Linked DNA regions of Lytechinus pictus. The protein of the gene in region 1 interacts with the protein of each later gene in a pairwise test. Links are inferred from orthologs where the notes say so. Each region holds a gene or a part of one and is shown in the gene's direction. Other genes may lie near its edges.

Region 1 (7,621 bases):
CATGATTCAGATCATGATTCTAGGGTAAAAAAGTGGCGGATAAACGCACCCCAACTACGAAAGTCATATCTGCCTGGTCTTCGGATGGCAGAATAATAGCCTTACTTCCAGCAAGCGGAGGAAAAACTGTCAAACGTTTGATCAGGGCTGAGAGTGGTTTGGACACTATATGAATATATAATCTCTTGATGTATCCCTGATTAAACAGGACTGATATTACTGATGAAGATTTTAATAAATGCAGGGTTGATTACATATTAATCATTAATTTTCATGGACCTGATGTAATCCTTCGTTATCTACAACTAGAACTCTTGTATTAACTTTACGGCTGTATTATTTTTATATTGAATAGTGTTTTAACATTTTGTTCTACTTTTATGTAGTTTTTAGCTAATGGTGAAACAATTTCCTTGCGTCAGTGCCTTAAAAGTGTAAAAAATACTCAAAGAGCTTTACAATGTACTGTCTGTAAAAAATGGGTTTACACAAAATGTGTTAAAATAAGTAATGATTTATATGATGATCCTATATACTCAATTGTTTTTAGACTGGCAATGTACCAATTGTCTTTTCAATTACTTACCTTTTTTAACTGGTGAATTTGATAACATTTCATGTACCACTCACACTAAAAGTAATGTGAATGTCAACACTTCTTGCTTATCAGAAATAGGAAACCCGTTGCAATTTGATTGCTTACAAAGTACAGGTCTTAGATTTGTACACTTAAATATTCGTAGCCTCCTTCGGAACATTGATTAAATAAAGTTATTATTAGAATGTAACAAAATACATGTACTATATAGCACTGAATGAAACGTTTTTAGATGAATCAATATTCAATAGTGAATTAAATATTGACAATTATCTCCTTATCCGTAGAGATAGAAATCGACACGGAGGTGGAGTAGCTGTTTATATCCAAAATTCGTTATCTTTTGAAGAAATTGATTATAAAGTAGAGAACTCATTAGAAATAATTTCGTTAATGATACGTCCAAAGTTTTCAAACCCAATTATTTTTAGTACCTGGTATCGACCACCAAACTCTCATCTTGATATATTCCAGCAATATGAAAACTATTTATCATATCTTGACCGTTTTAACAAGTATATTGTCATAATGGGTGATACCAACTGTGACATCTTAAAGTCTCCATTATCGACTGACACTGAACGTTTACAAGAAATTCATAACTTATATTCTTTAGATCAAATTAATAGAACCGACTACACAAGGGTCACATGCAATTCAATGACTCTCATAGATCATATGATTACTAATTCACTTGAAAATATAAATAAATATGGTGTTATTCACATTGGTATCAGTGACCACTCAATGAGTTACATGATATAGAAATCAAAACATGAAGACGCTTCTCGAATGATTAACTTCAGAAAACTATCTGGTATTGATCTAGAAGCGTACATGGAAAGATTAAATAACCAGTCTTGGCACGAGATACTTAATTATGATAATATAAATGAAGCATTTATCAAATGGGAAGAACTTTTAATGTCAGTTGTTGACTATTGTACGCCTATCAGAAGTAGAAGAATTCAGAGTAAAAAATCGCCCTGGATGAACTCAGAAATACTTAAATTGATTCGAGAAAGGGAGAAATTGAAGAAAAGGGCCTTAAAAAGTAAAGATGAAATTAAAATGATAGAATATAGAAAGATCAGGAATAAAATCACTTGCCAAATTAGGAAAGAAAAGAAAAAATATTATAATGATCAAATAACAAAACTAAAAGTAAATGCTGGAAATATATGGACTGTTATGAAATCATTATTACCTTCTAAGAAATCAAATTCTGTGATTAAAACTGACAAAGAACAAATATTTGAGCAAAGTGAGAATTTTAATAATTATTTTGCAAATATCGGGGCTGATTTAGCATCCAAGATTCCTATTTGTTCTGGAATAGTGCCGGAGCAATGTAACCTGGATTCATCTTTTTATTTTACAGCAGTAACAGAAGAGGATGTTTCAAAAGAGATTAAATTATTAAAAATATAAACCTTCTTCTGGTATAGATGGTATTACTGCTCAAATACTAAAAATGTCTGCACCAGCCATACTTCCATCCACTAGCGTACCTACGGGGGGGGGGCAGAGGGGCAGTCTGCCCCCCTGACGAGCCACCACCCATGCAAAGCCACCACCCATGCATGTATCCCTGCCCCCCCCCCCCCTGACGAGCTTGAAAGACCTTTTTGCCCCCCCCCCCCTGGAAAATCCTATAGGTACGCCAGTGCTTCCATCACTTACTTATTTGATCAATAAATCACTACTAGATAGTACGTTCCCACATAAATACAAGATAGCAAAAGTTATTCCAATTTACAAATCAGGTGATAAAAATGAACCTTGTAACTATAGACCAATCTCCATTTTATATTTCAAAAATTATGGAAAGACTTGTATCCAACCAACTTAAATTGTACATGAAAGAAAATGAAATACTGATCTGTGTGGATCAGTACGTCCGTCCGGATTCAGAAAGAAACACTCAACAATGACTTCTCTTTTGAAAGTCACAAGGCAATGGACGAGGGTCTTTATACATGTTATACGGGGCAGTATTCATCGACCTGAAAAAAGCCTTCGACACTGTGGATGTTAAAATACTTGTGAAGAAGCTAGCAAAGATTGGTGTTTCAGAAGATGCTTTGCACTGGTTTGAGAGTTATTTATGCAACCGGATTACCGGAATATATGTACATGTATCGAGAATATTACATCAAACGTCTCAAGTATAGAGTATGGGATTCCACAGGGTTCAACCCTAGGGCCAATTCTCTTTACGTTATACATAAACGATATCAATAAACATGTAAAATATTGTAAACTGCATCTGTATGCAGACGACACAGTTATTTATTTTTCTGGAAAAATATCAGTGAGATAGAATACTACATAAATATTGATCTACATAACATATATGGTTGGCTGTGCCACAACAAACTAAGCCGTAATGTTGATAAAACGAATTCTATGCTTTTTCGAACTAATATTATGTTATCAAAATGTGCAAATATAAATGTTGAAATATCTGATAAAACTATTAAGCAATCTAACTCTGTTAAATATTTAGGCATGTATCTCGATCCAAAGTTGAAGTGGGATACTCATATTGAAGAACTATGTAAGAAAACTAATAAGCTTGTCAAATATTTAGCACGTCTAAGACATTTCGTAACTGAAAGTAATCTAAAATCATTGTATAGTTCAGTTATACTTCCCTTATTTGATTATGCTGATATTGTGTACGAATCCACAAATAAGAAATATACTAAACGTCTTCAAAAAATTCAGAACAGAGCTGGCCGTATCATTTTGAATGTTCATTAAACCGCAAAATCGAATATCAAATAGAGAAATACACCAACGACTCGAATGGAGGTCATTACAATCACGAAGAAATATCCATATATATATACAATGGTGTTCAAATCATTGAACGGCCTGGCTCCATTATACTTAGCAGATTCATTTAAATATTGTAATTACTCATATAATTTAAGAACCGTAGGTAATGTGATTATGCCCAAACCAAATACAGAAAATTGCCGTAGAATGTTTATATATAGAGGTTCACGCCTATATAATGACTTACCTTTAGATATGAAATTATTTTATCAAAGACTTAACTACATTTATTACTTATTTGAGCTCTAAGATTTCAAATTACATTGATCTCTGAGCAACACGTTGTTTTGCCGGGAGGGGGTGGGGTGTATTTGCTTGTAGCTTGAACCAGTATACATCTCTATGGCTTGAACTCATAACTTTAAATTTTGTTTTATGTCTATTGTCTAGTTTTCATTACTTTATATTGTGTTTAACAATGTTCTTTTCTGTTGTTAATGATGTTTATAATACAATCTGATCTATTTTATTATGTTCTGGACCCCTAGGCAGAACAGAGTGGTAATAATTTCCACTCTGAATGGGCAATCCAGCCATTCCTATGTATTTATTTTATTTTGTAATTATATCTGATGTATTTTGTTTGTATTTTGCATGTTTTTATGAATGGAAAATAAATACAATACAATTATTACAATTTAAAAAAGACGTTTAAAATGCATGCCTATATTAATTTTACCCCCAACTATCCAAGCTCAGCGCTGAATGCGCATCATGCTCTTGACTTTGTAGGTAGGTGGAAGGGGTGGAAGAAATGAACATGAGTTCAATTCGTGATGTGATATTCCAATCAACCTTTGATTCTGGTGTGATAGACGCATTCGGATATCGATACAGCTGCATTGAACGGTGGTTTCGCTGTAACGTTAGAGGGCGCTCAACGAACTGCACTCTGATATATATATGCCGAATTGCGAACGGCATAAAATTACGCTGCGATGTTCTTTGGGTCTCTTTCGCTTCTCAACCTTCGCCGAACGCACGTCGAAGCACCTGCTGTATGTAAACGAGATATCGTAGTCTTGTTCTGCTTTGTTGTACAGGCACGTATCTTCTACTCTTCAATTTTTATAGACCCTTTCGTAAAGCTAAGCCTACTTTGGTTTATATTGTGAAGTTTGTTGGCCAATTTGTTTATTGTTTTCACCATTATGCATTTTTAGGGAGGAAACTTGCAACACTGCGCCGCGCAGAACACAAAGTCAGAAAATTGCACGAAAATTTTAGAGAACTGAGTCTGAGATCTAACTTAGCCTTAGCCTTAGGTACGGTACGGTAACTCAAGTCTCTGTGTGAACAAATTTAGACTAGCTTTTTCGATCTGCGGTATCAACAGACAACAACAACAAATGTCCTTGGCCGGTGTAGCGGCGGATTTGGTTCCACCGGCGGATACCGTATCCGCCGGCAGATATCGTTCTTAATGGCCGATATCGTTTTTAACCGGGTTTAACGCGGCTTGATGTTTGCAGATTTGGTTCCTCGGCGGATTTGGTTCTATTGACGATACGTGTAATATTTATTTGGACAGACGTCCAACCTCGGCAGCGCGCGCATGCGCGGCTCTGGCAATGTCGTTACCAATGGGGGGGGGGGGATTTTCGTCCGCCTTTAGACTTTTAGTGAATTTTTATTCAGGGGCGGATCCATACAGCTTTTGACGAAGGGCTCGATGGGGGTGAGGGAATAGGAGAAACAATGACTCGATATATCATGTATACATAGACCTGGCAGTGGCACATGCGCCAAAACTTTGCTATTTATTATTATCAGATTTTGATGAAATTTTCATCATTTTGTTTTGTAGGCCCTACGTGAAAATTTATACTACTTTCAGTCCGCAGTATGCATTGATATCTTTAACTGTGCTTTTTCACACCGTGATTAGTGTAAGTTTGCCAGACTGGCGAAAATTTGTACCCCCATATAGGCCTATGGTTTTTATAAAACTACAGATTTTCAACGAGTTAAAACTTCATAATTTCAAAATAAATGAGGCAAATTAGTTTATGAATATATATTGCTGTTAACTCATATTATTGCTTGTAGAGTGCTAATTTTTTGTGAAAACATTAAAAAAAAAGAATTTCAAAACATGATTAATATCTTATGTAGTTTATTGTAGGCCTATTTTTAATTTGTCATGTATTTTTTTTATTTGTTTTTTTTTATTCCTTTTTTTTCAATATTTTTGTTAAGGAATCTGAATTAAAGGGATGGTCCGGGCTGAAAATATTTATATCTTAATACATAGAGTGGAATTCACTGAGCAAAATGCAGAAAATTTCATCAAAATCGGATAAGAAATAATAAAGTTATTGAAGTTTAAAGTTAAGCAATATTTTGTGAAAACAGTCATCATGAATATTCATTAGTTGGGCTGATGATGTCACATCCCCATTTTCCGTTTTCATATGTTATCACACAAAACCATATTTTTTTCATTTATTTCATACTTGTGTGAATAATATGTCTCCCTTATAATGAAATAAGTTGCAGCAATAAATATCTAATGCACTAAATCAGTTGTCACTCAAAATTTTCTAGTTCTTGGAGGAAAAAATTTGAATAAACCTAATTTCATATAATAAATTACAAAAGAACAAGTGGAGATGTGACATCATCAGTCCACCTAATGGATATTCATGACGTAACAGGCGGGGGGGGGGGAGTTGCCCCCTGGCGGATTTAACCAGGAATAAAAGAAAAACGGGAAAGGAAAAAAAAGGAGGGAGAAAGAAAGGGAAAGGGGAATGAGGGGAAAAGGAAAGGAAAAAGTGAAAAGAAAACGAAGAAAAAAACCCTTTTTAACGGAAAAGGAAGGAAATCGGGAAAATGAACGAAAGAAGAACATTTGAGAAAGAACAAATCATTCCAAAACAGGCATAATTATGTAATGCAATAGCACGGTGGGAAATAAATTAAAAGATGACAAAATGGCAAACAATAGCGCGAAACGAAGGTAAAATGCAATTAGTCAAAAGCTAATTTTTGGAAAACAAAGAAAAGGGACAAGAAAAAAAAATAACACGACCGGGCTTCCGATGATTGAAATTAAAGAGCAGGAAGAAAGATGGACTGCATACAACATTGTGCTATATATAAGCTAGCTAAATTTTATGTAAATAAGCTACCGGGGCTTTGCCCCAGACCCCACACAGCTGTAGGGGCTCTTCATTTATACTGAACCTCAAATTGCTCTATAACGCTTCCCGTTCACAATCACGTTCAATTACTGCACATGCGCGGGGGGGGGGGGGTCTTGGTTCCACACCCAAGAGAAATATAATAAATTAAAGGAGACAAGGTATAATGAAATGAATGGAAACAATGAAATTTGTTAGTTGCTGAATCTAATGGAAAAATCAATTACATAATTCGAATTTAATTTCAAAATGCATTTTTTTTTCCAGCTCGATCGCTTTGCGACTTTTTACAGATTTTTCCCACATTACTATGTTTTGCCCCTCAAAATATTTGGTTCATTACGCAACTGGGTTGAATAAATGTGTTTTGTAAAAGCTATATCCTGTACATGCCCGCGATTTGATTAAAATAGCGGCAATCTGCGAGGAAATGGCTTTGATATAAAAAATTCCGGACCCCAACCGCACAGCACTGCGTATGGAAGGGTTGGGCTATGATCCCAAAAAGTTCTACAAACAAGAACAAAAAGAAAGGAGGAAAGAAAAGCAAAGGAAAAGTGTAGAATATGATTTTATTTACTGAATATAATGCCAAAAAATAGCTCAAAGTTAGATTCTTCTTTGTGTGCAGTATGTGAATTTTGTTTCATTTATTGTAAAGCGCGTAGAGAAACTTTCAGTTTTATGCGCTATATAAGGGAAGTATTATTAGTAGTAAGTCTGTTTATATGTATACAAAACTCTAAATCATCTAGCACCTGAATATCTTAATAATACCATCAAATTATACACACCCTCTCGTAATCTTCGTTCAATCACTGACACATGCAGACTTTGCATTCCCTTGTCAAAACTCTCCTCTGCCGAAAAACGGTTTGCTGTAGCAGCTGCCAAGACTTGGAATACTATCCCTCTTTCAATAAGAAATGCTTCCAGTGTTCTTGGCTTCAAATCTTCCCTTAAGACATACATTTTTCCTCAATAATTAATTTCCCTTTTTATGTTGAATATTGTAGTAATTATTGCAAATGTT
Region 2 (8,202 bases), on another chromosome or scaffold:
GACAAGTTTGTGAATAAATTTTTGTGACCAATAAAAGCCTTGGGAATTTTCTGCCCCCTTAATTGAACAACAATAAATGTGTGTTGGATAATGTTTTTATTCCGACTAGTATTGTTTATTAAGCCTTCTGACACAAAGATTTGCACTTCATCCCGATGTCCCTGTCCAGCCAATATCTTCTTGTTTGTTGCAAGGGTAAATTGCCAATTCGTCTACTGTCTACTCGTCCACTATTTACATGGTCTACTTTCATTTAGTCTAACGCCATTCCGTCCATCAACTTTTCGTCTAATAACCATTTGGTCCAACTTCGTCTATGACCATTTCGTCTCATAACCAGTTGGTCTAATATCCATTTCATTTTCATTCATTTTGCATAAATTAACACTTAATAGTCCAATTAGGCCAAAGGGTACATGGACTAAATGGCTATTGGACCAACTGGTTATTAGACGGAATGGCATAAGACTCAAGTCTGAAAGTAGACCATGTGGTGAGTGGACGAACTGATGGTAGACCAGATGATAGTTGACGAGTTGGCAATTGGACGAAATGGCATTAGACGAATTGGAAATAAACCATTGCAAGTGCTAAAATTACATAATTTGTGATTTCTTGCAAATCTTTGTGTCAAGGAATGCTGATGATGGTGGTGGTTATGGTGATGATGATAATGGTGATGATGATGATGGTGGTGGTGGTGGTGCATGGCGGTGATGATGCTGATAATGAGGATGAAAATGATGATGATGATGAAGATAATGAGGGTGACAATGATGGTGATGATGATGATTATAAAGATGACGTTGAAGAAGATGATGATGAATATGATAAATTACAAAACGACGGCGATGATGATGATGGTGATAATGAAGATGATGAATTACAAAATAACGACGGCGATGATGATCATGGTGATAATGAAGATGATAAATTACAAAATAACGACGGCGATGATGATGATGGTGATAATGAAGATGATAAATTACAAAATAACGACGGCGATGATGATGATGGTGGTGGTGGCGGTGATGATGCTGATAATGAGGGTGACAATGATGGTGATGATGATGATTAAGATGACGTTGAAGAAGATGATGATGAATATTAAATTACAAAACGACGGCGATGATGATGATGGTGATAATGAAGATGATAAATTACAAAAAATAACGATGGTGATGATGATGATGGTGATGATGGTGGTGGTGGCGGTGATGATGAAGATAATGAGGGTGACAATGATGGTGATGATGATGATTAAGATGACGTTGAAGAAGATGATGATGAATATTAAATTACAAAACGACGGCGATGATGATGGTGATAATGAAGATGATAAATTACAAAATAACGACGGCGATGATGATGATGGTGATAATGAAGATGATAAATTACAAAATAACGACGGCGATGATGATGATGGTGATAATGAATATGATAAATTACAAAAAATAACGATGGTGATGATGATGGTGGGATAATGATGACGATGGTGGTGATAGTGAGGATGGTGATACAACACAGGGCCGCAGAACGGTTTTGAAATTGGGGAGGCTACGTACATTCAAAAAACACAAAAACGTTTTTGTACATGGAAGAGTTAGTTCCAACATCACTTCATTCATTCATTTATTTATTCATTTTTACAACAAAATTTATAATGCAATAATTACAATAAATAAAACATAACATCAGAAAATATGAATGACATAAATATTCAAATAAACCAAACATACAGAATATACACCTGGTACAGAATATAATATTTCCAAATTGATAATAACAAAATGCAAGATATGTTGGAAAAATGGAGTGGCCCACTGAAAAGCAAAGCTTGTAAAGTGTGGCCCCTAGCTTTCAAGAACAATGGTGTTACATGTAGGCATTCTTTCTGATGATGGCAACAGTGGTTGGTTTTTTTTTATTCAAAATTCACCTAGGCCTATGTAGGTGTACTTGAAATGTTCCACAAATAGTCCGAAAACTAATAGTGTAAGTTACGTGATCCATGATGATGGTGATGACGATGATGACGATGATGATGATGAGGATGATGATGATGGTGGTGGTGGTGGTGGTGGTGGGGTGCAACCTATGAGAATAACACACGCAGCACCCTCCATAAAAGTCTCGGGGATGGTTCAGCACCCCTGCTTCCAGAGCCATTGGTCTCAGTTTGAAACTTGATGTTCCGCTATTTCAGAAAGTTTTCCTAATACGATCATTGTACAGTCCGACGATAAATTCAGGAAAATAGATTGGGCAGATAAAAGTCATGATGTCTATAATCAAATGATTTAGCAAAACTATACCACTTTTTAAATCATTTAGGTATACCCCAACCCCTCGCCGGTACGCCAATTGTGATGATAATGGCGGGGATGATCATGAATATAATGGCGATATGATAATAATTATGATAACGTTCATTATGACTGTGAAAGACAAATGGAATAAGAAAATGATAGAGCTATGGCATTTTACAACTCGACCTTTTTAGATTAGTCTTACTCTATACATGAGGATGATGATGTTACACATTTTATTTTACAGGGTAGTACATCTCAAATTCGACTATTTATGAGGCATGTGAGGAATAGAACAGTCTCTTATTATAGGCCTATATACTGTTGGGAAATGGAAATATTTTATTTATCAAATAACAAAATAAAATAAAAAAATAAGTTAGTGAGTCTTTGACATAATTGGCTCCCTCATTTGCAAGACCGCCAATTGTACTTGGCCTACTACTTTATAAAAGTATATTTGAAGAAAGAAACTTAAAGAAATTGACTCAAATGCTCTTTTTTACTTCCGAAACAGACAAACAGTCTATTTGAAAGAAATACTAAATACTATTTGAAAGAAATACTAACACATGTGTAAGCAAAACCTCTCACACAAAATATTTTCCACATCTCCTCATTTGCTCATTAAAGGGGGAATTCACAATTACATTAAATTGATTTCAATAGAAGCCAAAAAAAGAGAGGAACATATGCCTAAAAAGTTTTAGCGAAAATCCATAAGAGGATATAACGAAATTATTATTATTTTGTTGTTATTGTTGTTGTGTTTGTTTTTATTTTGTGACGTCATATGCGAGCAGTTAATTCTCCCCTTATGAGCATCTTTTTATGATGGCTACCTGCGCATTACAAATGTGTGTACTAGTAATCGATTGTTCAACATATCATTTCATAGGCCTATCGGCTTCTATTTTTACTGAAGAAAGAGAAGGAAGGAAGTAGTCGTGGGCCATTAAAAATTGAAATTTATATATATTGGGAGCTACTCGCACATGACATGACGCTAACATTTAACTTTTAAATTATCGCCAACTTATGAGTGAACCCCTCCTTTGATGAACGAATAAGACAATTCATACGAGAGCGCAATAAACTGGTATAGTATCATCAGCCAATAGCGTAATGAGCCCCCCCCCTCTAAAAAAAATGAGGGGGCAACATAATTTACGTGTAACAAAATTTCTTAAAAGTCGTGAGCGAGTGAGCAAATGTTTGTCCTTTTAAAATGACAATCTAATTTTGCGATAGGTCTATATAGTTTGAAATATTTTTTAGAAAATAATACTTCATCTGAACCTTCTTCCTTTATGTTCCCTTTTTCCTACTTTGAACTTTTGGGACCCCCCCCCCCTCCCACACACACACACTCACTCACACAACTGCAAGCCATGACAATAGCAGAACAATATATGAACAAATTAAATACAAAAGATTTACCAATTAATTGTAATTTATATATAGGCTTAATTAAAATAAAAATTTGTAAAAAACGTTTATTCATGTGTTACCATTTTAATTTTAACCGGGGGACAGGAGGGGGCTCTAGCCCCCGCACTTTTTTTCCAAAACCGTGTACAAAAACGAAAAAAATTACCACCTGATTATGATTTTTGCATGGTCAGCCCCCCCCCCCCCCCCCCACGCACGTTTTATTCAAAACCGTTCCGCGGCCCCTTTATATATATGCCTATAATTTGATTCTTTTTTTTTTTGCCTTTCATTTTGCATTTTTTATATTGAATTATAATGTTGTCCTTTATCGAGATATTGTGTGATTGTCATTAATTTTAATAAACTGCTGTAGGATGACACTTGAAAATAGAGATACATGTCACTGTAGTATTAAACAAAAGTATTGGAGTAAAAAACCCTGCACCGGCCTCAATCCAATACCAAAGCTATTTTTTTAAGCAAACACGTTGGTATCAATCATTCACAAAGCATTTTCATTTATTTGATGCAAGATAGAAGAGTTATGTATCGAAATACGCCTCGGTCAAGGGCCGTACCGGGTATCGAACCCCGGACTTTCATTGTGTAGTCGGGTACCTTAGACCACTCGGCCACGGCACCAAGCTATTTTTTTTTTTTATAATATTTTATTTTCTTCCTCTTTCAAATCAAGTTAATCACTTCGTATAAATCAAGATTTTGTACATATATACGAGACAAAGAAATATATCAATATCAATGAGATTACAAATTTTCAGAATTATTAGAAATGAAGTTAACTGCCCAATTTCTCTTACATTAAAAAAGCAGAGAAAAAGTATCATCAATCGACAAATAAAAAACAGACTTTGTAAAAGGTGACTTTTTGCACTGCAAAACAAGAGGTCTAGCGCCATCTACATTTCATAATTGGGTAGTGTCGTTTCGGTCGCTTTTTGGAGCTCATGACTGGCAAAAATTGAGATTGAGACCAAAAAAATAATCGTTTTATTTGTATATTTAAAGACTATTTGTTGAATTATTTTGTGCCAAAATAAAAGGAGGCCAACATCATGCAGGGAATGCACGAGACCGTCCCGAGTTATCATCCGGTGGAACAACAGAGATTCAATCCATACACATTCAATGGAGGGTAAGGTTACTCGTCTGTCCACTTTGTCAGTTTGTGCAGCGCTGTCCCTCCTCGCCTAGCCTCAGCTCCGGCGGCTCGCTCGCCAAGGAGGGAGCTAGGCGGTGGAGCTGCCGCGTTCATGGCAGCCAGGATCAGCTCACAATTCACATTCTGAACGCTAGGTTACTCTCTAAATTTGCGCTAATGCAGTTGGCTCTATCGTCATCCAAGTCACTGGGGACAAACTTGAGACACACCTTTATCAAAATATCAGCAATCTTTCTCTGGAATAACGCCTTCTTAAAGAGGTTTTCAAAACCAAAGTCTTTATTAAATAGAAATCTAGACTATTGTTTGCGAATTGCGGCGTGAAGCTTCTGAAGTCTGAACAGGGGCTTTCTTCCACCACACGTTTTCCTATTGACACAATAACAACTGACTCAGACACTTTTTCAAACAACAAAAAATAGTAATCTTCTTTCTTTTCTCCTGAATATTCTTCCAAGTTGAAACAAAAACACGAAATAAAACAAAATTAATCACACTAAAAACTAAATTTTAACTGCTCGTGATCCCATAGCATAGGAGGGGACTCGAATAACGATATGCTCGTCATCCGAGTCCCCTCCTGTGGGAAATTTGCAGTTAGATCTAAATAGTATTTTTAATGTGATTTTTTATTGATTTTAATGATTCTTATTATCGAGGATATTCATTTATCATCTCTAAGAAACTGTCTAAAGTGGCAGTTAAATAGTTTTTTTTTTTAATGTGATTTTTACTGATTTTAATGATTCTTAATTTCTTATTATTGGAAAGTCAAAAAGGGGGCCTAAGCTTTCGATCCTAGCAGAATCTTCGTCGGAGGCAAAATGACAAACATATAAAGTGGAACAACCATAATATAGACCACAAACAAGCTACAGCAACACTAGAAACAAGGAGACAAAAGGGGCATTAGTGAGTAGAGAAGACCAATCAGGTTAGTGAAGGGGATGAAAGAAAAGGAGTAGGCAGACACTTATTATTGAGAATATTCATTTATAAGACTGTAGGAAACTCTCCAGAAGTGGCAGAGTGGTTTTGAAGAGGAGGGAAATGCAAAATGAGGGGTAGATGAATATCAACTTGTTAATTGCCGTTTTGTATTTTAGGAGAGGGGACTTGGATCACGAGTTTCAGTAATAGTATTCCTCGTTATCCAGTGAAGTCCCCTCCTATGGGAAATTGGACAGTCTTTACACAGGAAGGGGACTCGGATCACGAGGAGTAATTAGACAGTTAATAAGTATTTTAATGTGATTTTTATTGATTTTAATGATTCTTATCGAAAATGTTCATTTATCATCTTTAGAAAAAGTGTCTAAAAGTGGCAGAGCAGAGTGGTTCTGAAAAGGAGGGAAATGAGGGGTAGATGAATATCATCGGGTTAATTGCCGTTTTATTTTAGTGGGGGGACCTGGATCATGAGGAGTAATGACACATTTTTATAGTGTTTTTAGTGCAATTCTATTGATTTTTAATAATAATTCATATAAAGAATATTCATTTATCATATCTCTAGGAAACTGTCTAAAAGTAGGAGTGGGCTATACATGTAAATGGGTGATTTTTTGTTTTATTGTGGCAACAGTTTTTTTTTGTTCCTTAGCAAGTAGCAAGCAGCTTTTATAGCTATATTGCCTTAGAGAAATATATCTTATCAAATAAAAGAAAGTTTTATAATCCATAGGGGCTATACGGTACATGTATACAATGCACTGGAGACTGGACATACACTACACTGCATACAATCATCTAATTGCTATTCATTTCATTTGATGTTTATTTTTTTATCTCTTGTATAAGACAGAAATAACCATTGTTTCCAGGGATTTATTCAACAATTTCTGAATTCTTACTATCATCCCATTCACCTAACCAGGAGGCTCCTAAAGAGTAAAAATCATTCTCTAACATGAGCTTACCTCCATGGAGCCAGGGCATGTGCCTACATGTATATCTTGTCTGTAGTGGCTGGGCTTTTTTAAAACTTTTGCCCCTGTGATTTCAACTTTCCCTATAAGAGTTCTAGCCCTAAGTCATGTTCATGTAAATGGGCTAGCATAGGCGGATCCATGGAGCCAGGGCATGTGCCTATATCTTGTCCGTAGCGGCTGGGCTTTTATTAAACTTTCGCCCCTGTGATTTCTACTTTCCCTATAAGAGTTCTAGCCCTAAGTCATGTACATGTAAATGGGCTAGCATAGGCGGATCCAGGGGGCCGCCCCCCCCCCCCCTATTGGCGGAGCAAAAGAAAAAGAAAAAAAAAAGAAGGGAAAAGAGAGAAGAAGAAAAAAGAGGAGGAAGAATGGAAGATGAATGAATAAAATAACATGAGGGGAAGACTTGGAAAAAAAAAAAAATCTTTCATGTCATATAAAATTTTCGCTCGTGCTTCACGCTCGAATTGCCTGTTCGAATGATACGTACATGTATGTAGCTTGTTCAGAAGCCTGATATACATGTAGAGCTTAAAATATCAAGTTTTTAAGTCAATAAGCAAAACGTATTTCAACATGGACATTGATCTTTTATTAATTTGCTTGATTTGCCAATTAATTTGAAAAAAAGTGCTTTGTAAAATGTCTGTTTTATTATCTGAATATCAACATTTACAGCTCACGCTGCGCGCTCGCATTATTTGATTTGTCAAGTACCTATCCTCTTCATGCATTCCATAAAGTTATAAAAAAATATATATCTTGTCAGGTCTGATTATCAAAACATATCAACTAGCGCTGCACACTAGCATTTTGATTGAGTTATGTGTTCTATAACAAACTTCTTAAAATCCCCTTTTGACAGTTTATCAATATATTCGGCTTGTAATTTGCGCTTGCACCATTTGTTAAAAATGCATCCTATTCATAATTACAAAAGTGCTTAAAATGTCAAGTTTTCAGGCCTTGATATCAATAAATTTTGTGCTCTTATTAGGCTTATAAGATTAATAAATGAGACAACATTTTTATGAATTCCTATGATAGTCAAAGTGTCCCCTTTTTTTAGAATGGAATATCGGCAAGTTTCATTTCGCGCTAAAGGAAGAGGAATAGGAAGATAGTCATCATTTTCATATGATGACGAATGTTCTTAGAATGTCCCGGTCCTAGGTCAAAATATTTGATCGCATCATTTAGGTGCAATCCCTATCCACTTCACAATTTTCCTACACAGTGCTTGAAATAGTGTATAAATTGACCCTTTTTCATCTAAACATTAAATATTTTCAGCTCACACTTCATGCTCGCATTATTGATTTTCATGATGAAAAATATATTTAGA

What was found. The genes of interacting proteins can lie anywhere in the genome.
Region 2: the proteins of methylenetetrahydrofolate reductase (NADPH)-like (region 1) and proteasome subunit beta type-1-B-like interact in a two-hybrid assay, tested with the Caenorhabditis elegans proteins (3 studies listed by BioGRID). The link is inferred for Lytechinus pictus from reciprocal best matches to the Caenorhabditis elegans genes mthf-1 and pbs-6.

What each region holds. Positions count from the first base shown.
Region 1 is NC_087258.1:5,055,710-5,063,330, reverse strand, and holds the start of methylenetetrahydrofolate reductase (NADPH)-like, read left to right. Parts: upstream 1-4,331; 5' UTR 4,332-4,485; intron 4,486-7,621.
Region 2 is NC_087259.1:10,581,247-10,589,448, reverse strand, and holds the start of proteasome subunit beta type-1-B-like, read left to right. Parts: upstream 1-4,655; 5' UTR 4,656-4,816; coding exon 4,817-4,896; intron 4,897-8,202. UniProt on the Caenorhabditis elegans protein: Non-catalytic component of the proteasome, a multicatalytic proteinase complex which is characterized by its ability to cleave peptides with Arg, Phe, Tyr, Leu, and Glu adjacent to the leaving group at neutral or slightly basic pH.